Saccharomyces cerevisiae S288C: one gene and its partners. The protein of the gene in region 4 binds, or shares a complex with, the protein of the main gene of each other region. Each region holds a gene or a part of one and is shown on either strand. Other genes may lie near its edges.

Region 1 (5,305 bases), on a different chromosome or scaffold from region 4:
CTACACCAGGAATTTGCAAGGCCACATACTACCTTGCAGTTCCATTCTGATTTGGTCAAGGATAAGGGAATTGTTTTTATGAATGGCCATGTTGAACCGGATACAAACGTGAATGTACAGGATGCACAGCTGTTATTGCTAAACGTGCAAAGGTTTTATGGTGCAATGGGTGAAGAAACTCCAGTTGCTAAACAGAGAGTGCAGTTGTTAAGAGATTTCTCTAAGGCCTCTCCGGGATTCACCGTCGAGAAATTGATTTCGCTATCACAGTCCATGGAAAATTAACGAAGAATTACTTCCGTATACGTATATATATATATATATATATATTAATGACACCTGTAAATAAAATACGTACTACATCATCTGCGACAAGCGTACAGTTTCTTTACACAGTTATCAGCATGACTCTTGTATTTTCATAATGAAAAATGAAAATAAAAATTTTAGTAGATGAATATAATACGCAGAAAGAACAGGCTAAAAAAGTACGAAAAGCAACTTCATTATATTTCCGCATTCATCCTTCAATTATGGCCAGCAAGACTTTGAGGGTTCTTTTTCTGGGTCCCAAAGGTACGTATTCCCATCAAGCTGCATTACAACAATTTCAATCAACATCTGATGTTGAGTACCTCCCAGCAGCCTCTATCCCCCAATGTTTTAACCAATTGGAGAACGACACTAGTATAGATTATTCAGTGGTACCGTTGGAAAATTCCACCAATGGACAAGTAGTTTTTTCCTATGATCTCTTGCGTGATAGGATGATCAAAAAAGCCCTATCCTTACCTGCTCCAGCAGATACTAATAGAATTACACCAGATATAGAAGTTATAGCGGAGCAATATGTACCCATTACCCATTGTCTAATCAGCCCAATCCAACTACCAAATGGTATTGCATCCCTTGGAAATTTTGAAGAAGTCATAATACACTCACATCCGCAAGTATGGGGCCAGGTTGAATGTTACTTAAGGTCCATGGCAGAAAAATTTCCGCAGGTCACCTTTATAAGATTGGATTGTTCTTCCACATCTGAATCAGTGAACCAATGCATTCGGTCATCAACGGCCGATTGCGACAACATTCTGCATTTAGCCATTGCTAGTGAAACAGCTGCCCAATTGCATAAGGCGTACATCATTGAACATTCGATAAATGATAAGCTAGGAAATACAACAAGATTTTTAGTATTGAAGAGAAGGGAGAACGCAGGCGACAATGAAGTAGAAGACACTGGATTACTACGGGTTAACCTACTCACCTTTACTACTCGTCAAGATGACCCTGGTTCTTTGGTAGATGTTTTGAACATACTAAAAATCCATTCACTCAACATGTGTTCTATAAACTCTAGACCATTCCATTTGGACGAACATGATAGAAACTGGCGATATTTATTTTTCATTGAATATTACACCGAGAAGAATACCCCAAAGAATAAAGAAAAATTCTATGAAGATATCAGCGACAAAAGTAAACAGTGGTGCCTGTGGGGTACATTCCCCAGAAATGAGAGATATTATCACAAATAATATGTTATATAGTCTTTTTATTTATGTATCCTAAAATCTCGTCAAAGCGCACTTTTATATGCTTAAACCTGGCAATGTGGAACTCTTGATGTTTGAATCGATGCCTGGGATTTCTTGACGCGGTTTCTTGTTGATGAATCCATTCATGTTTGGTAACGCATGTGGTTCAAGTGTAGCTGGTGGTGGCGGGGCCGCACCGAATTCACTCTTCTCTCTCACAGCATTGATGTCGTTATTGATGCCAAAAAACCATCCATTTATCTTCTTATTGTTATAAGTTGGATCATCATATGCATTAGGATCAATTGGCCTCGCTCTAGTCCAAAATCTTATGGTTCTATCCTTAGCTGCTGTGGCAAATATATGTCCTACTGGATTATATGATAACGAGGTGATACACTTATCATGGGCGTATGGAATAGTCAAAATAGGTTCGTTTAGATTTTGTAAAAGATCAAAATGCTTTAGCGAGCCGTCATAGCACGCCAGAGTGAACATAGATTCATTTATTGGGTGCCATTCTAGTGTCATATAATCCGTTTCATCTCTTACACACATTAGTTCCTTCATACTGTATCTAATGTCGAACACACGACACGATTTATCTTTTGAAATCGCCATTAATAGATTTCCCTTGGTGGGTTGAAATCGCGTCTTCAAGACAGTATGTTTGAACTTCAGAATTGATGATATGCAGTTTCCGGAACGCGGATCCCACAGTTTTACTAAATTGTCCTTAGATGCGGAGGCAATTAACCCCATCTCGGGATGCCAATCACAACTTTTCACGTCCCAGTGGTGCCCCGATAATACTCTTTCTTGTTTGCCATTGCTGAAGTTCCAAATCTTCAAGATATTATCATCTGAACAGGTAACAAATTTCGAGTCGTTACTACTGAATGCCATATCCCTAATACTTTCCGTGTGTGCAGCATCAATTTCTTTAACCATACTAAAGTTTGGTTGCCATATCTTAATCATTCCATCTGCGTCCCCACTAATCATCCAATCACTGTCGTGAGAATATTTCATTGTAGTCACAGCCGAATCATGTGCTTGCATGAGGGTTTCAAACGTAAACGAAGATGCGTTCCATAGAGAAAATTCTCCGCTATAAGTTGCTACTACAAGTCTTCTGCCTTCTGGGGTCCATTGGATGGCGGGTATCACATGTTTCACTTTATTCGAGCTTAAATGCGTAAATTTGCTGGGCAAATTTATGACTCGATCTCGACCTCTGTAGGCATTAGGCGGCATTATATCTATTGTGTATGAAGTTTCTGGCTCTACCACTAGGTTCGGTAATCCATGTCGTCTGTTGTAATATAGGTTAATATACGGAGAACTCACGTCTACCGATCGTCTCTGTGTCACATATTTCTTCAGAGGTGGTTGTTGTGACTGCTGAATTTGATTCTGATTCTGGTACTGGTTCTGATTATGCCCGTCCATAACGTGTCTATGTTGAGCTTCTTAATATCTACCCAGCAACCTGTATATCAGTGCTTTCTTTAATTATACTTCCCTTGACAAATCGATACGTCGGCCCTCAAAAGAAGAGGAAAAAAAATAGAAAAAAAAATAGAAAATAAAAATGTCAGTAATTCTAATGATGACACAAATTCAAATAGCAACATTGAATACTGTTTAACAGAACAATTAACCACTTTTAATTAGAAATACTAACAAAGAATTTGTTAACGTATTCTTAGGAAGTAAAGTACTTCAATTATTGCTAGAAATGACTGCTCAGATTCCGTATCAACATAGCTCGGGATACATCTCTCATTTTCACAATAATGAGCTTGATGCAGGCAGGGGAAGGGATTATAATGTAACCATTAAGTATCTAGATGATAAAGAAGAAAATATAGAAGGCCAAGCAGCAAAGATTAGTCACAATGCGAGTCTGCATATTCCCGTTTTATTGTGCTTGGTAATCTCGCTTGGTGGCTTTATTTTTGGATGGGACATTGGAACCATCGGTGGAATGACAAATATGGTTAGCTTTCAAGAAAAATTTGGCACAACTAATATTATCCATGACGATGAAACAATTTTTGTATCTACTAAGAAACTTACTGATCTGCAAATAGGCCTAATTATCAGTATTTTTAACATCAGTTGTGGCGTAGGGGCTTTAACTCTGTCAAAAATCGGTGATTGGATTGGTAGGAAAGGTGGTATATGGTTTGCCTTAGTAGTGTACTGCATCGGTATAACCATTCAAATTCTCTCCTATGGAAGGTGGTATTTTTTGACATTGGGAAGAGCCGTAACGGGAATCGGTGTGGGAGTAACCACTGTCTTGGTGCCAATGTTTCTCTCCGAGAATTCTCCACTAAAAATCAGAGGCTCCATGGTATCTACGTATCAATTGATTGTAACATTTGGCATACTAATGGGAAACATTTTAAATTTCATATGCGAAAGATGTTATAAAGATCCTACACAAAATATAGCCTGGCAATTGCCATTGTTCTTGGGATACATTTGGGCAATTATAATTGGAATGTCACTTGTTTACGTTCCTGAATCTCCACAGTACTTGGCAAAAATCAAAAATGATGTGCCCTCTGCTAAATACTCTTTTGCGAGGATGAATGGCATCCCTGCGACGGATAGCATGGTAATTGAATTCATCGATGATTTGCTGGAAAATAACTATAATAATGAGGAAACTAACAACGAATCAAAAAAGCAAAGCTTAGTTAAAAGAAACACATTTGAATTTATTATGGGAAAGCCAAAGTTATGGTTGAGACTGATTATTGGTATGATGATAATGGCATTTCAACAGCTGTCCGGAATAAATTATTTCTTTTATTACGGAACGTCTGTTTTCAAAGGTGTCGGGATTAAGGATCCTTATATTACTTCAATCATACTGTCAAGTGTTAACTTCCTTTCTACGATATTAGGCATATATTACGTGGAGAAATGGGGCCACAAGACATGTTTATTATATGGTTCAACAAATTTATTATTTTATATGATGACATATGCTACTGTGGGGACATTTGGAAGAGAAACGGACTTCTCAAATATTGTTTTAATTATCGTGACTTGTTGTTTTATTTTTTGGTTTGCAATAACATTGGGCCCAGTTACATTTGTACTAGTGTCCGAATTGTTCCCTCTAAGAACGAGGGCCATATCAATGGCTATTTGCACATTTATCAATTGGATGTTCAATTTCTTAATATCACTTTTAACACCAATGATTGTATCCAAAATTGATTTCAAACTAGGATACATATTTGCTGCTTGCCTATTAGCGTTGATAATATTCAGTTGGATACTAGTTCCTGAAACGAGGAAAAAGAATGAGCAAGAGATCAATAAAATATTTGAACCGGAGTAGATATTACATAATATAAATAGAAGAAGTAGCAAAGTGCAGTTTTTTTTTCCATAATAAATAACCATCAGTAACTAAGTGGCCGTGAGGACTGACCACATTTTCTTTACATACAGTAAAGTAAATAAATCTATCAAATATTTTGATTATTACTTTTAGATAAAACCCTTCTCTATTAGAAAATCTCTTATTATATCCCAGTACCCATCTTGAATAATAGTATCATTGTGTGAACCAAGTGGAAATTCGAAAATCTTTTTGTTCGAACTAGGACATGTTTCGTACAGTTTCCTCATGTGGAAGGGTGGAACGATTTCATCTTTTAATCCACTTAAAAACAAGAATGGCGTCTCTGAACTACAGCTTCCCATAAGGCCTTCTGAATTCCAGATTTCGTGACATAAAA
Region 2 (4,596 bases), on a different chromosome or scaffold from region 4:
AAAATATAGTTTTTTCTTGAATTTTTTTAAAATCCTCATACTTACCTTAAGATATCAGAGGAGATCAAGAAGTCCTACTGATCAAACATGCGCTTCCAATAGTAGAAGGACGTTAAGCATTTATCATTGAACTATAATTGTTCATTGAAGTCATTGATGCAAACTCCTTGGTCACACACACATACGGCGCGGAAGGCGTGTTTGCTGACGTTTCCATTCCCTTGTTTCAATCATTGGTTAATCCCTTGATTCCTTTGGGGATTTTTGGGTTAAACTGATTTTTGGGGCCCTTTGTTTCTTCTGCCTGGAGAAGTTTGACACCAAATTCAAATTGGTGTTAGGGGAGCTGGGGCCTTTCAAAAGAGAGCTTTGTAGAGGCATTCTTTTTGACTACTTTTCTCTAGCGTGCCATTTTAGTTTTTGACGGCAGATTCGAATGAACTTAAGTTTATGATGAAGGTATGGCTGTTGAGATTATTTGGTCGGGATTGTAGTTTGAAGATGTGCTCTTTTGAGCAGTCTCAACTTTGCTCGTTCCCGTTATGGGAAAAATTTTGGAAGGTCTTGGTAGGAACGGGTGGATCTTATAATTTTTGATTTATTTTCAGAAATAAATGGAACATTTTTCTATTTATTTCTTTCTTAAAGTACTGAAACTTTTAAAGTTTCATGCTTCTATTTTCTTCATTTCAGTCCTATATCTGGTGATGTGTTTTGGAATGAAACCTGTTATACGCTACATTGAGACAAGACATTGTCCAGCTTACTAAAAATACAGTGTGTTGTATATCAAGCTTCTTGATAAAAAAATAGCTATGTGGACAACAAGCAAATAATGTGCTTAAGAGAGCCGCAACAAGAAACGTAATATTATATAATGAATATAACTAGGAAGCTATCGAAGACTTGTGAAAGTATTGAAATTTCACGGATAATGTAGGATTCATGAGGGCCGCTTAATGCTTATGCTTTTCTACAGTAATTGACCGTTTTGTTTAGTAATATGAAGGAGCGTATAATGACGGTAGTTGAGAATGTGAGCTTTGCCACTCAGTTAAAATGTCCATTATACAATCTTCAAAGGGAATGTCATCTTTTTCACATTGTTCTATTTTATCATTGAGCATATCAGCTAATTCCAATATAGCTTTGCTACCAATTTTAGCATTTTCATCATCATCTTTAATGTCAACATTAATTACATGCACTATTTTGTTTAATTTCCCACCTCTATTCATCAAATCTTCACAAACGGCATCAAAACATCTCTCTTCACAAGTGAAAACGAAGTCGAAGACTTTTGTACTTTCTTGCCATTTTTCAGGTGCTTTTTTGAGTCTTCTATTACGATCCAGCATTTGCAATAAACCGTTCGACTTGTAACGGTCTGCTGATTGTGATAAAAGATCATTATATATATCATTATAGGGTGTACCAAATGAGTACACATTAGGCTTATCTATCGATAGACCAGGCAGTCTCACAGCTGAACCTGTTCCGTAAGAGCTAACATTATAGCCTGCTTCTTGCAGGACTTTATGCGATTCCATTGAACGATTGTTGTTTGATGCACAAACTGTGCAAAACTTCAAGTTTGAATTGCGATGACTAGGCATTTTGGACTTCGACACTAGTTTATACCACCGTTGTCTTAATCTTCTTACAGGTGGTCTTTAATTCGTGCCGACTGGCCTTTTTCTTTATTATCTTTCGTTTTTTAAGTTCTTTCCACTGCCGCAGACGAAAAATACGTAAAGGATGATCAAACGAATAAGAACAAAAGAACTGGATACCTCAGTTTTAGGGAATATATTAAAACAAGTATATATGCTTATGAACTAGTGAATTCCTTACACTAGCATTTTTCATCAATAGGACTGTGAATACCTACCGTTTCCTTCTCTACAAGGACGCCTTCTACTTCATAATCTGTTAAATTCGCATTAACAGTGTGTGTGTTTCCCATAACAACAATCTTCTGTTTCTTGCAATGAATATCTTGAAAACAATCATATTCGTCTACATCTTCTGTATTTGTTGTGTGTGGGAATATTGCACCAATATCTACGTAGTCTCCCTCTAGTACTCCGAGATTTTCATTATTGCTTGCATCTTTCTTCATTGAGTTAGAACTTACACTTTCCACGTCATCCATACTACAACTCACATCAAAGTCATCCATTCTCTTAGCAAGAACATTGATAATAGCAGATTCTGCAACTTCTAGCTTCCATTGTTGCCAGTCTTTTTCGCCCTTAATCAAAATACCAATGAGCATCGAGGGATCCATTTCCGATAGTTGCAATTTACCAAATTTACTGGTATGGCACGACTCTACAAATGAATCTTCTACTGCCGGTTGAGGAATATGAGGATCGAAATGTAAAAATTCATTTCCTTGATAACCAAAAAAATACAACGATGAAGACGGCCTACCGCCGGCAATGCCTACTGACTGTGTTGAACTTAAGATACCACATATACTTTCTCTATAGCTCTCATTTACCGCATTAATCCCGAGCTTCACGCCCAACAAGAACAATATTCTACTATTTGGATTCTCAGCAAATACTTTTTCAACTTCATTTTCATAGATATCGCCGGATGAAACAGATACTATACAATCATCGATGCCACATTCGGGGAAGCCATATATTAAAGATTGTATACTCCTTGCCGTAGCTGCGGGACCAAACCATTCACCTGGTCTTTTATCAGAGAGTTCTGTACCTGCAGAAACAAAGTTATGTAACGAAAATGGAGCCTCAGGCGTGTCATTAAACCAATTTACAAATTTTGATTCTCTTTCCAGACTTTCGTTACCATTTACCCTGAAATCTCTGCCCAAATGAAGGATTTGTAAGGCATTCCCCAACAAACTTTGTCCTGTCCTTATCATACACCCCCACCCAATATCAGTGTTAAAGCAATCAGGATTTGCTATATAGTCCTCTATTGTACTGATCGGATTTGTACGTACTAATAAATTTAGACTTAAAGGTGAAGGCCCATCTGGCGCCCTTGCTATAGGAACAAATCTTGTCCGATATGTAAAGTTGACCCTTGATTGTACATCCAAAAGAAATTCCTTTGTGTAAGAAGAAATTTCCCTACCAAAAAGAGAGCTTAAAAACCCGTCACTAACCGCTTCACCGCGATATCGACAGTCTTGTTCACATTGTTCAGCGCCAGATTCTTCGTCTCGCTCAGGATATACTTCCCCTAATACTATATAATCATGATTCATAAGAGCAGCCGGTTCTTCGGACGAGCCTTCAAAAACGCCATGAGACACTTTTTGTACCAAATCCATTTTCCACAGTTGTAGCCACCTCTGCATGTATATCACTCCTATACGTGATAAGAAGTCGTCCATTCTTCATCTACTAACGTTATTGTGTGTATATTTTTACTTTTTTCCTTTGAGGCGCTATTGTTGGCAGCTGCAACGGTCACCGCCTAAAGAATAAAAGTGAAATTTGACATTTTACAATTAAATAAGATCTGAACAAAACAACAACAATTAGGCCTGCGCAGAGTTTCTAGAAGGAAGAAGTGATTTAATCGCAGAGTCAAATATAAGCATAAATTGTTGTAACCGTCAAAAAAAATGGCAAAAAGGCATAGTCATTATCAAGGAAGCAGACGTAGGCATGCACGTGGTAGCAATTCCAAGAAAGCTGGCAGGGGGAATGCTAAAGGCATACAAGGCAGAAAGATAAAGAAAAAACCTACTCCCACTAACAGTTGGCATAACTCTTCTATACCACTAGGAGAAGGTGATCTTGATGATGTAGGCGCCGACTTCAACCCAGGAAGAGCATTCATATCACCAAAAACTATAGAAGACTATTATTTTGGTCGCGATGCCAAGAGCCGTTCTATGAAAATGGGTGGTTTAAGACCAGGTAATCGATATGATTCTTCAACTGACCTACAAGCAGGAAGGGCAGCATTCCGCAAAAGACCTATGCAATTTGTAAAAGCTAAGGAAGTTTACGATCCATCCCACAATATGATTCAAAAACTGAGAGCAAAGAACGAAACAAAGAACAGTGAAGAAATTGTCGAAAGGGAAGCAGACGTTTTTGAAGAACCAGGAAAGATGACTTCTGATGTTGAATATATTAACAATGAAGACAGTGAAAACGAGGATGATGATAGTCAGAATTCACCCTCGACGGACCACTCGCTGTCTTCGAATGAAAGCAAAGTTGAAGATGGTGACCTGTTTTTTGTAGATGAAGAGGCTCAGCAATCGCCGGATCTAACCAAAATAAAAAGAGTATGTATCGAGGAAATCGCAAGGCCAAGAGAAGTTGCGATAGAGTTCGATCCTATCTTAACAATTGGAAAGGTTGAACTTAGCGTTTCCGAAGGTAACGAAAGCAAGGAAATTAGTGTTGACGTTCCAAATAAGGGTAATAAGACATATCATCCATTTGCTGGTTACATTTCCAACGTATTACATGGTATGCATACTAGCGACTCGGACAATGATGAACTAGACTACGAAATAGAAACAGAGAATAATAGTGAACCTTTATACGAATCCTCAGCAAGTTCTGAGGTTGATCAAGGGTTTAATTATGTTGG
Region 3 (7,926 bases), on a different chromosome or scaffold from region 4:
ATGAATAAATCAGAAAAAGGAAATTATGAAAAGAAAAGAATGAGGAGAGTGGGAGATATTTAATGTTGTTAGCTATTTATCTGTATGGAAGTTATTACCTTCTTTTAAGATGGTACAAATAGCATATAGGTGGGTTTGGTATAAAGATCATTTAGTTTTTGTCATAGATTTTTCAATTGTGCATAGGACCAGTTTATGTTACCTCTATCATACTTATATTTTTTTATATACAAATTTTTAAATTACCGATATTATATATAGGCACCGATAGTATAGCCCACCAAAGCGCCCAAATAACCTCCAACAACAATAGGAATTGGCCAATTCTGCCAATCTCTATCCCAATCCAAAGGAATGACAACACAACTAATCCAACCCCCTACAACGATAAAGATAAAATACTTCTTCCATAATCCCACTTTGAAATCACAATTAAATACAGAATAAACTGCAGGGTATGCTAAAAATGCAAAATGCAGTGACAACAGCCAGGTTTCCCACAATAAGTCCATTAATGGCGCACCAAATAATATAGTTAATAACATTGTGGGAAAGCTCAACAAAAATGTAACACCTAGACAAATAATGGTCAATGAGTAATTGATCTTAATGATTTTGTTACCGTAAACTGTGCATTTATTGAATTGTAAAACTAAATAAGCAACTTGTGTAGGAATCAAAAAACTTAGCAACTTCACCGTATTGAAATTTGAAGATACAAAAACGTAGTAATAAAGTAGTGCTACTAAATGGTATGGAAATGTCATCAGAGGGGTTTTCCTCACATACACAGGTGGACGATCATGATCTACGTTCTTTTTCTCACGATTTTGGTGCGTTGTTAATGTTGTGTCATCGGAGAATGATACGGTTTTTTTCACTGTCTTTCTAGTCCTTTTTTTAGCTGGCATATTTAAATTGGACCTTCTTTAGTGCACTTGTTTATGTTCCTGCAAAGTCTTTGATTAAAGGCACCGTTTGCACTTTTGCTTTATTTCACTAACTGTTCTTTATTTGTTTTTTTTGCTGTGCAAAAAGTAACTTTTTCCTCATCCCCGCGTTACGTAAATAGTTCCGAAAATGTACGATGATACATGCGTTATTGTTACAAATCTAGTGTTTCAAGTAGTGGTTCTTATTCACTACTCGAATGCCTAGTGATAGATAGATGTATATATCGGGCTAGTTAGCATTAAATATCCTTTATATGTATTGTTCACTTACCCTGGCATAAAGATCTCATTGAAAATTCAATATTTATGATATCTCTCCATGCTTCAAAATGCGCATGTCTTCCTGCTTTCTGCGCAATGCTTTTCCGTCTATCAATAGCTAATCCACAGAACCTCCGTATAACGTTGAAATCAAGCATAGGCCTCATAGAGTGACCCATCTGATAAAAGTCGTTGGCCAATCTTTCCATGCGAGGGTTTAAACCACCTAGCTGTAATTCTCGATCGATGATTTGTTGTTGAATCACATAAAGTCTTCTGTATTTTTCCTCACTTAAAGGAACTATCTTGAAGACTGACCCATCCACTTGGCCACCAACGTTTTGAAACGATGGCACTTGAGGAGAGCCAAATTCCTCGTTTCTTGGTAAAAGCATCATACAACTATTGGTGGAATGCAACGTGAAACTGGAGCAGTGGACTAAACGTTGACCCGAAAGAGAGTTGGGTTCATCTGGCGCATATTTTAAAACATGAACATTTCTGTCAGCATCTGTTGCCGCAAAATACATATCCCCTCCGTTCACTAAAAACTCTAGCGACATTGTTTGAAATTTCGACATACTTCTGCCCAATGAAATCATCCTGTATGGTTCTGCGTCAAAACCAATAAATTGGAACCCCTGCATAGCGTCACCAATTATCAAAAGATTACCAAAGCTTTTAGAATCCGTAACGAAAACAGGAATATCCAAAAATGCCACTGGTATGACGGAATTATCTTCTTGGATATCTCTTACTAGAACTTTTTGGCTTTGACTAATCATGAATCTTCCACTAACCTCACAAACAGTAGATACAGTACCACTGACCTCTTCTTGAAAAATTTCCTTGAGCTTATAATTGGTATCAGGTTTACCAGGTTCGGGAACAACTTCTATCACATCATAAATATGGAAAGCGCCAGTTGGTGGAGTGTCTTCAGTGGTGGCATTGGCAACACCGGCTATAATGTATTCTCTTTTCCTCTTAGTTTTTGAATTAATTTGAATCATAGAGGATCTCATTTCATTGACGACAGAATTCTTTGGAAAGTCGATTTTATCAATGACCTTCCAACTTTTTGGATTAATGAGTAAAATTCCACTTTGAAATCCTTCCGCATGAGGAACATTCTCGTCATAACCAATTACTTTTTCGCCATCTTCTCCTAATGCTTCGTAAGGAACCCGCTTGCAATAAGATACAAGAAACAATTGAGCCCTTTCATGATAGACTAGTTTTTGCAGAGTTTTGTAGTCATCAAGCACATTGCTGATCTTTATCTGTTTCAATGGTAATTTGTTACCATAGTACATATTGTCAGTAGTTAGTGTGTAAACTCTGGCGTTTTTAATATCATCTACACACATGACTGAACGCTCGCTCCAGGGAGTGACTGAAACCAATGGTATGTTTCCGAATTTGAAAATCTTCGGTGTGGAATCATCTTCTTTTATTAATATGTATGGAACGCTACCGGTTACAAATATTACCGAATAACCGTTGTAATCGGGAAAGTAATGCATGATTCTTTCGATGGAACTAACACCCTTGGCGTATGCATTGTCAGGAGCACCAGTAATAGCTAGATCATTTCTTGTAACGTTTCTATAAAATCTACTACGTCTTTGTGGTAATTTTCTATATTGGTAAATCTCTCCTCCGAAGGTTAATATTGTCAGGTATTCTTCTTTATTGTCATGGCCCAGTTTGTTTATCATTACTTGTTTAATCGATGGATCAGGGACGATCTCATCGCCCAGTTGATAAGTGCTAATGTATAAAGATTCATTTAATTGGTCAACACCATTTAGTTGAAAGATTCTGTCATTATGGTCTTTAGTAAAAAAGATAATTTGGTTATCTGCAGTAACAAATGTAAACAATAACTGTTCTTCTTGAGACTTACTCAACCCAATCAAAAATTCATTACACATATTGCTTTTCAAAATCAAACCAGATGTAATAACCATTTCATTCAAAATTTCTGGCAAATCAACTTTTAACAATTTTCTTTTATTCTTTTCCTCCAATTCAAATATCTTAATATCACCCCTTGATACGGTAACTAGTATATACGGATCCATGACGGAAACATGAATAACTTCGTAGTCAAATTTAATTGTGGTGAGACGTCTAAAATGTGTATCATATAAATATAAGTGATTGGTGGTGACTTGTATTATTCTTTTTTCTTCACCAAACATTGAAATGTAAACTGTAGTAGCATCTCTTCTTAAACGGCCGCCCTTATGAAGTTTGAAGTTATTGTCACTTTCATATATGTCACTCCGGGATTTTGTGGAATCAGTAGTTATTAAGTACCTATCTCTTCCTTTGATCTTCAGATTCCAGATTTGTGTTATACTGATAAATTTCAATGCTAATTCAATTTCCGGTTGAACACTAGTCTGTATGACGGTCAAATGAGAACCTGAACCATTTCCCGATGTGGCAACTAGCGAATACTCGTTTTTGTTTGGATTTGGTAGTCCTTTTACCACATCATCAATGGAAGATACCTTACCTACAGTTAACGATGTGATGGGACCAACATTCCTTAGAGATGATAACAGTTCGATATCGAAAGGTTGAACAGTTTCCACAGTGCCTTTGGAATCATTAGTTGTTAGTCCATTTTCAGGAGCTTCATCGGCGTATAAATCGTCCATTTCCTCATCATCGTCGTCATTGATATCCATCAAACTATTTGTACCTGAAGATGGATTGTGTGCTTCTCTTGTTTCAATGGTAGATTTCAAATTATTCAATCTGAGAACCAAAGCATTTCCTGAACCAAACCCAATAAATAAGTCCATATTTTTGTTTGAATTGGTGGCATTCAAACGTGTTATACATTTTGGATTGGAGTTCTCCTTCAAAAGATCATTGACTATAGGTAGCTTGAAAATATCGAATTTAATCAGTAACCTGCCCTCTGCTTCCATTTGGATATAGTATATATTGGATTTCAAGTCCATAAGTAGTAGTGTTTCGTCATTATTACTTCCTCCGTTTTTGCTCTTGGACGAAGGTATCCAAATTGACGTAGTGTTTTTCTCCCTGAACATAATTTCCAATGAAGAATTGTTGATAATTTTTGTTTTCTGTAACTCTTTATCAGCAAATGAGTTTAATAATACTGTCGATTGTAAAACGCCAGTATTATCTAGAAATGCCAGTTCATTGGTTCCCACAATGATAGCACCATTCGAAACAGGTACAATGGTGTGTAGATCCCAAGGCAGTTCCTTGACAAATGCTATTGTGGTTGATTCAATCTTGGTGGCACTTTCTGCAGGCTGGATATTTAATGTGAGTATAACGTATTGTGTAGGGAGTTTTGAAATGGTGGTGTTTCCTGCCCAAACAAGCTTTGGTTGGTATAAGAGCGCTATCGTTGGTTTAGTAAAATTTTTCAAGAACTGAATATCTATGATATTTTTGGCGCCTTCGTACAACTCACTCGCTACCAATACCACGCTTGGAGCCGTGAACTTGTCACCTAACTTGGTTCTCTTCCTCTTATTGAAAGTATTCGTCCCTTGGGATTTTTGATTCATGCTATGGATTAATTCACTATCGTCTATGTTCTCGTCCTCATCTTCTTCCTCCTCATCGTCGTCATTTTTATTGACATGGAAGGGTAGAAAAGCGATAATGTCATTATTGAACAGTAAGGCACAAGAACTTCCAGGATCCATTCTCAAGGTGGAAATTTTGGCCAGCTCTACCAACGATTTACCCTTGAACTTTCCTTCGTAGTAATGCAGGCTTAGGGTATCGATTGAGTTTGTTAGCGTGTTGAACTTTAAAATAGAGATTTTAGCGACGCCTGTGCATAAAAGCAGGCAACTTAACGGACTGTCTTTTTGGGGAATGAGGCCTATATCGGTGATCAAGCCATGAAACTTAAACTCATCAGTCAAATACAGTTTACCATCCCTAGTAGGCCTGTAGACAGAAAGGATATTTGTTCGCACCACTAAGAGCTCCTCATAATCTGAAGTAGTAAAATGTGTTGCTAATGAATGAGACACAACAGTAGCGTCAAGCACATCATCATATACATTCATAGGGCCAGTAGCTAGAGTAAAAAGCGAATCTAGGTTAGTACCTGATAGTTTTAATCAGTGAAGTGTTCAAGGGACGGTGATCTTCCTCAATTTACATATGATTGCTTTAACGCTGCTCTGTGAAATATGTCACCTCGAACTTACCTTATATTAAGATCACTTACTACGTTGTCTTATTGGGAGCCGACGGGATGAGGAAGCACAAAATGTCACTAATAGGGCTGGTCAGTGGCACAGTGAATCATAATATATCGGTTGAGCACCAGTTAAAGTATGAACATGTTAAATTTAAGACTCTCACTTATCAATGGTTACATTTTGGTCTAAATTTATTTATTTATGACACTATCAGGTACCTTGGTAAAGGAATTGAAAATAAATAGCACCCACACATCGCATGATGGCAGGAAATGAAAAATTACATCAGCGAACTAATGCTTTCTCGATGAATTATTCATCCATCAAAACGGTCTTTCAAGATTAATGTCTAGTTGCTTCAAAGATAGGCATAGTTTAGGTCATTTTATCAGCTACTGTAATATAGTCATAAGAACGCGAAAATGAAGGATGCTAATGAGAGTAAATCGTATACTATAGTGATCAAATTAGGCTCTTCATCGCTAGTAGATGAAAAAACCAAAGAACCTAAGTTAGCTATCATGTCGCTTATTGTCGAAACTGTAGTCAAATTGAGAAGAATGGGACACAAAGTTATCATCGTGTCCAGTGGTGGTATTGCTGTTGGTTTGAGGACTATGCGTATGAATAAAAGACCAAAACATTTAGCAGAAGTTCAGGCCATCGCAGCTATTGGGCAGGGTAGATTGATCGGGAGATGGGATCTTCTGTTTTCGCAATTTGATCAACGTATCGCTCAAATTCTATTGACCAGAAATGATATTCTGGACTGGACCCAATATAAGAACGCTCAAAACACAATTAATGAATTGTTGAACATGGGCGTTATTCCCATTGTGAATGAAAACGACACACTATCTGTTAGAGAAATCAAATTTGGTGACAATGACACTTTATCAGCAATTACTTCTGCTTTAATCCATGCAGATTATCTTTTCTTACTGACAGATGTTGACTGTTTGTATACTGATAATCCAAGGACAAACCCAGATGCCATGCCGATCTTAGTTGTCCCAGATCTCTCAAAGGGTTTGCCCGGTGTGAATACTGCTGGTGGTTCAGGTTCTGACGTTGGGACCGGTGGTATGGAAACTAAATTGGTTGCTGCAGATTTGGCAACGAATGCCGGTGTTCATACGTTGATCATGAAAAGCGATACACCTGCGAATATAGGTAGAATTGTCGAGTATATGCAAACTCTAGAACTTGACGATGAAAATAAAGTTAAACAAGCATATAATGGCGATTTAACGGATTTGCAAAAAAGAGAATTTGAGAAATTAAAGGCTCTTAACGTTCCACTACATACGAAGTTCATTGCTAATGATAATAAACACCATCTAAAGAATAGAGAGTTTTGGATTTTACACGGTCTTGTCTCTAAAGGCGCTGTTGTTATAGACCAAGGTGCGTACGCAGCCTTAACAAGGAAAAATAAGGCGGGATTATTGCCAGCAGGTGTTATTGATGTTCAGGGCACTTTCCATGAGTTAGAATGTGTTGACATAAAAGTTGGTAAAAAGTTACCAGATGGCACGTTAGATCCAGATTTTCCCTTGCAAACAGTAGGCAAGGCAAGATGCAATTACACGAGTTCTGAATTAACTAAAATTAAAGGTTTGCACAGTGACCAAATCGAAGAGGAATTGGGCTATAATGACAGCGAATATGTCGCTCATAGAGAAAATTTGGCATTCCCACCTCGTTGAAACGAACTAAAAAGTTATAGAGGATTCCCTTAATGATATTTCTTATATAAAACACTACCTTTATATTTCCAGGTTAAATAATGACACATTAAGCATGTTTTGTTTTTTTGAAGAATTGTGCAGAGCAGCTGTTTCTTCCTAATCCACATTAGTGTTCTTAACTCAAAAAAAAGGTAGTTGTTAACAGCTACTTTTTGTGATCCGTTAAAATCCTTCTATCTACTTATAAGCCCTAAATTAAATGAGTTGTGCGTATTTAAAATAAATGTATATTCAACCAAAGATTTGGATATCATCGTTTTTAACAGCCTCTAATTCTTCGTCATTTTCTATTCTGGCATGTTGTTCCTCATCCTCATTTTCATTAAAGTTCACTCGTTGACCTAACAATCCCGCAAAGAATTCATCGATTTGGTCGTCTGACCATTTGTATCCGGATGTGATGGGGGCTTCATAATTCGCAATTGGATCTTGAACTGAGTAGTTCAATTTCCTACCCTTGGAAGCCTTAGTATCGATATTCTTCTTTAGCTTGTTGTTCGAACGAGCATTAGTTGAGGTGATTGTAATTGCTGCACTTTCAGAATTGTGAGCGTTGGAAATCTTTTTGTCAATTAAATCGTTTAGTAAAACACGGTAAAAATCTTCGTCATCAAAAACATATGGGTTTTCGGTAATGTCAATGGCATTGTTATCCTTTCTTCTTGGGTCATAGTTTTTCGGGATATCAAGCCCATCATCCGAATTCTCATTGTCATCAACACTATCTTTGACAACGGGAGAAATCAA
Region 4 (4,881 bases):
GATTTTAAAGGAAAAGCCGAAACATCCTCCGCTTCTTCTGAAAGAGATAGCTACAAAAAATGTGTTATCACATTAAAATGTAAATATGAAAAACCTCGACATGAATTGGTCGAAATAGTAGACAAGGTGCCGGTGGGTAAGAGTTTTTTTGGAAAGACAAAGTATAAATTTGAAAAGAAGTATGTACAGAAAAAACCTAAACAAGATGAGTGGGATTATCTATTTGCACAAGACGGTTCATTTGCTCGTTGTGAAATTGAAATTAATGAAGAGTTTTTGAAAAACGTGGCATTTAATACCAGTCATATGCATTACAATATGATTAACAAGTGGAGTAGAATCGCAGACAAAATTCACGGCTCAAAAAGGCTGTACGAGTTACCACGCAAGGCGCCTCACAAAGTGGCTTCGTTGGATGTGGAAGCATGTTTCTTAGAAAGAACTTCTGCCTTTGAACAATTTCCCAAACAATTTTCATTGGTCAATAAGATTGTTTCCAAATACAAGTTGCAACAAAATATCTATAAAGAAGGGTATTTATTGCAGGATGGTGGTGATCTGAAAGGAAAGATAGAAAACAGGTTTTTCAAACTGCACGGCTCGCAACTTTCTGGTTATCATGAAATCTCTAGAAAGGCTAAGATCGATATTAATCTGTTGAAAGTCACGAAAGTCCTACGTAATGAAGACATCCAGGCGGATAATGGAGGGCAAAGGAATTTTACAGATTGGGTACTCTTTAATGAATGCTTCCAGCTAGTATTTGACGATGGTGAAAGAATTACTTTCAACGCGGAATGCTCTAATGAGGAAAAAAGTGATTGGTACAATAAGCTCCAGGAAGTTGTTGAGTTGAATGTTTTCCATCAACCCTGGGTGAAAAAGTATTGTGAAAAGTTAGCTGAGGAGGAAAAGACTCGAACAACCGGTCATAATTTGAAGCAAGATTTTAATTAGAAGGTGATTAATGGAATGAAAACAGCATATAATCTGATGACTGAGAGGTCTTTAGTTTAAAGATTAATTAAATACACATAATAAGAGTAAATACGTGAATCATGGACGATATATTTTTATTTCAATTTCACAGATCCCCATTCATTTCGAATTTTGATTTTGATTTTGATTAGGCTGTTGGTTCATGGGTGGCATCATACCTGGCATGGGGAATGGTGGAAAGCTACCAAACATAGGTAAGGGTGGGAAGCTTGGATGCATTGGTGGAGCGGGAGGGTTTGGTGTTCCAGACATACTATTACCCATATTACTGTTCAGATTAGACATATTTGCATTGTTTACGTTGTTGTTGTTATCAATTATATTACCGAGGTTTGAGTCTGTATCATTCGCGGAATTCAACTTCCCTTGCTGTTGGAGGGATAATAGGCCCATTAGGATCCTCCTAGGATTATAATCTTGTTGTAGTTTTTCCTGTCTATGTAAATACTCCATCCAGGTAAATTCGTTAAAACCGTAATTGAAATAATCACTTAAGTTGGCCCCCGGTTGCCTCCAGGGTTTCTCCTTTAATACTTCAGGATCTATTGTCGTTATGCCAACACTATCAAAGATTCCCTCTTTATCCAGGTCTATAGAACCAGTCATTGCTTTCGGTACATTTCCATCGCTCTCTGTAGCTTTTACGGTCGTTGCCGTTACACCTTGATTTGCTTCTCCTTCTGTTATTAGTCTTTCATCTGATGTCTTTGTGATGGTATTGGATACATCTGTAGCTACGCTAATTACGTCTTTGCTTGAAGATGTCGCTGCGGTAGAATAAGAATCGAGTAGTTTTGCATCTAACCTAGTAGGGTCAGGACCCAGACTTATGATAACCTCTAGGTCAGAATCACTATCGTCATCTGAGGAGTCAGAGTAGATATCTTCATCAGAACGATCATCTCTGGCAGTAGCTGGAGTTTCTTCCACGGGAGAGTCGAATTTTTGCCTTTTAACTATATCAGGATTACTGGACGCACCTGCGTCTGCTTCATCATCTCTTGATCGTTTAGATGAAGGTAGTGCTAATTCGGAGTCGGAACCATACAAGAACTTGTCGTCTTCGTCTTCACTGGAGCTCATTTAGAGAAATGCTAATAATTTTAGTGTAGGCAAAAGGAATAAGAATGCAAAGCACGATGGTGCGGTTTAACAAAGTGAATTTGGTGATGTACTCTCTCAAGATTTATGTCGCATTATTCGCTACGAAGGTTTTTCAAGATTAAAACGAATCTCCTTTCCCATCGCGACATACGATAAGGCTAATAACGCTACGGTATTATGTCATGGAGCTTGAGACATTGAATACATATATATACCTATATATAATATATATATATGCAAATACACAAATTCTTAGCAATTTGAGTGAGACAATGGAAATAAAGAAATGAGTGTGAATGGATATATTTTGAGGGAAGGGGGAAGATTGTAGTACTTTTCGAGAATTAAGAATAGGTTTTACTAAACTTGTAGGATATTTCTTGAAACCTGACCTTGTCATAATAATCTTGATCATTAGAACTGCTGAAGGAGTAAGCCGCAGCATATCTTGACAGTTTGGAGTTCAACTTTTTTAGGAATTCTAACTCTTTTGAATTTAATTTTTGTAGTGATGGCGGTGGTGATTTTTCAACGTCGAAGGCAATTTCTAATGGGTAATAGTAGGAGGGCACCTGAGGTTCATCTATAAATGGATCTGCCTCATATACATTATCGGAGGCGTTGTTATTATTGCTGGTATTATTATAGTAATTACAATTAGTGCTTTTATGGTTGCTATAGTGACGATTATTAAAGGAATGTATGTTATCAGTATGTGGTGGAAACTGATCTTGATATTGGGAGTATGAATCCGTGTTTTTTGAATTTATTGATTCATGAATATTTGTGGGTTTTGAATAGGTATAATTAGTGGTATATGGGTAGAAGTCTTGTGTGTATGGGAATTCATTGAATTCAAAATTTTCTTGGAATATTTTGATATCTTTTTGTGCATTTGTATTAGTTTCATATTTTATTGTGTCACTAATATCGATATCATCTCCATTTCTGTTGCTCTTTTGAAAGTTATCATGGTTATTGAATGATGAGTGGAACGTAGATGCGGATTCATCATTAGAAAAAAGAGATGATAATGAAGAGGATCTGGTACTTTCAGAGCTCTTTTTTCCTCTTTCAGGACCAGTTGCCATTGTGCAGTCCTTCGTAGTTTTCGTTTCCTTGGAAATAGGCTGAGAATCAATATTTTCCAAATTCAGAAACTCTTCATTGAACAATATTTGAGGATTAATTAAATGAATTGGTTGTGTATGAACCAAGTTCTGCAGCTGAGATGAGGCAATTTTGTCAGACTTTTCAAAATGCCAACTTCTAGGGGAAATTGTAGATCCAAAAGAAAAACAAGGACGGTCTTCTTGATCGGTGGTTGTGTCATAATAAATGTTAGGTTGTTGTTGCTGTTCAAAAGGAAAGAGGAAGAAACCATCTTCTAAGGCAGCGTGAAGTTTTCCATGCATATCCGCTTGCATTTTGTTTGTGGGGAGAGGAATAGAAAAGCTTTTCTTTTATTATTTTTTTCCTTTTTCACCAGTAATGGGTGCCAGTAGGAATTTGTTTCTCTGTAGGTGACTAATGACAGTAGTATATTATGCTTTTAATCTTTAACAATACTACTGGTCGATTTATAATATGATAATGTAAAATAAATCGTAATAGGATAGTCGATGTTTGTATCTACTTCACGAAACAGTTATGGTATACGGTAGTTTAAATATCTGAAGAAGCAAAAATACCGAACTACAAGGGAAGCATTTTGAGAAAAATATTAAGATCAAAAGATAATTAATTTACCTTAAATACATAAAAGAGGAAAAGTAATATACAAGGTAAACAACAGGCAAGGAACAAGATCAAAAACGTCCGACCCCAATTTAGTAGTAAATTACAGTAAGAGAAAAAGGTATTGGGGCTGATACATATTAATTGTGCGTTGTTGTTGTTGTTTAATTTTAGATTGGCTATTATGAGTACACACAAAACGTTGTAAACGCAATCACCCATGGATAAGCGCTCCCTTTAAAATGCACTACGAAATCATTGATCTACTAACTTTAAACCGGACTTAAACCATCAAAGGGTGCTCTAGATCTCATCGATGTATTCTGATGCAGCCAAAATTGCGCAATCAATCACGTTTCCCGATATAGAAAACTAATTGGCTGTGTTACGTGGCTGGGGGTTCTGTAATTCCTTTCTTCCCCGGTGAATCATCAAGATTGGGCTAAGCGCCTTTGATCCTTTCCCTCGAAGACGGAAATGGGGCCGCAGGATAAAAAATGGTGTGTCTGTAATTCCGATTTTTTGCTTATGTAATCATGTAACTTTCTTCTAGTCCCTTTGCAGACATGCATGACACTTCCTTACCCGAATAGTGAGTTAGATCTGTGTTAGGATGCAGGATGGGCAGTTCAAAGGCTTTTCTTATCGTATCTTTACCTTTTCCTGTAACTAAGAAGGTTTTTGAGTGCATGTAAAGGCACATAAATGAAACTTTAATTCCCTGCGTATTTAAGACCCAAGAAGCCACCATGACGCTTCCTTGATGTTGTATCTACCCCCAATCCTGGCGCCCCCTCCTGCGGGCACGCATGCGCCTTTGATCCTTCCCCTCGAAGACGAAAAGTAAACAAAGATACGCACTTTTTTTCTCCAACGCAGTATTGAAGGTACCATCACATGCTTACTCACTTTGCGGCTGCTATAACACCGTGGCAGTGTAACGTTTTACCGTTTGTCCTTTGCTACCGCATTTTAAAGTGGTACAAGATGTTGAGAGAAAAGATTTCCTGCAGCCATGATTAGGAGAGGTAATAGCGGATG

What was found.
Region 1: FIP1 (region 4) and PFS2 share a complex: the UniProt entries of both Saccharomyces cerevisiae proteins name them as parts of the cleavage and polyadenylation factor (CPF) complex.
Region 2: FIP1 (region 4) and SSU72 share a complex: the UniProt entries of both Saccharomyces cerevisiae proteins name them as parts of the cleavage and polyadenylation factor (CPF) complex.
Region 3: FIP1 (region 4) and CFT1 share a complex: the UniProt entries of both Saccharomyces cerevisiae proteins name them as parts of the cleavage and polyadenylation factor (CPF) complex.

The regions. Positions count from the first base shown.
Region 1 is NC_001146.8:38,304-43,608, reverse strand, and holds PFS2 (cleavage polyadenylation factor subunit PFS2), read right to left. Parts: upstream 2,991-5,305; coding exon 1,593-2,990; downstream 1-1,592. Other genes in the region: ATP11 (Atp11p), read left to right, coding at 1-285; prephenate dehydratase PHA2, read left to right, coding at 534-1,538; HXT14 (Hxt14p), read left to right, coding at 3,280-4,902; YNL320W (uncharacterized protein), read right to left, coding at 5,055-5,305. UniProt on the Saccharomyces cerevisiae protein: Integral and essential component of the cleavage and polyadenylation factor (CPF) complex, which plays a key role in polyadenylation-dependent pre-mRNA 3'-end formation and cooperates with cleavage factors including the CFIA complex and NAB4/CFIB.
Region 2 is NC_001146.8:226,114-230,709, reverse strand, and holds SSU72 (RNA polymerase II subunit A C-terminal domain phosphatase), read right to left. Parts: upstream 1,617-4,596; coding exon 996-1,616; downstream 1-995. Other genes in the region: cysteine protease ATG4, read right to left, coding at 1,856-3,340; SQS1 (Sqs1p), read left to right, coding at 3,611-4,596. UniProt on the Saccharomyces cerevisiae protein: Component of the cleavage and polyadenylation factor (CPF) complex, which plays a key role in polyadenylation-dependent pre-mRNA 3'-end formation and cooperates with cleavage factors including the CFIA complex and NAB4/CFIB.
Region 3 is NC_001136.10:1,060,716-1,068,641, reverse strand, and holds CFT1 (cleavage/polyadenylation factor CFT1), read right to left. Parts: upstream 5,291-7,926; coding exon 1,217-5,290; downstream 1-1,216. Other genes in the region: mannose-ethanolamine phosphotransferase GPI11, read right to left, coding at 252-911; PRO1 (glutamate 5-kinase), read left to right, coding at 5,851-7,137; rRNA-processing protein BFR2, read right to left, coding at 7,411-7,926. UniProt on the Saccharomyces cerevisiae protein: RNA-binding component of the cleavage and polyadenylation factor (CPF) complex, which plays a key role in polyadenylation-dependent pre-mRNA 3'-end formation and cooperates with cleavage factors including the CFIA complex and NAB4/CFIB.
Region 4 is NC_001142.9:602,122-607,002, forward strand, and holds FIP1 (cleavage polyadenylation factor subunit FIP1), read right to left. Parts: upstream 2,083-4,881; coding exon 1,099-2,082; downstream 1-1,098. Other genes in the region: BUD4 (Bud4p), read left to right, coding at 1-957; transcription factor IME1, read right to left, coding at 2,448-3,530. UniProt on the Saccharomyces cerevisiae protein: Polymerase-regulating component of the cleavage and polyadenylation factor (CPF) complex, which plays a key role in polyadenylation-dependent pre-mRNA 3'-end formation and cooperates with cleavage factors including the CFIA complex and NAB4/CFIB.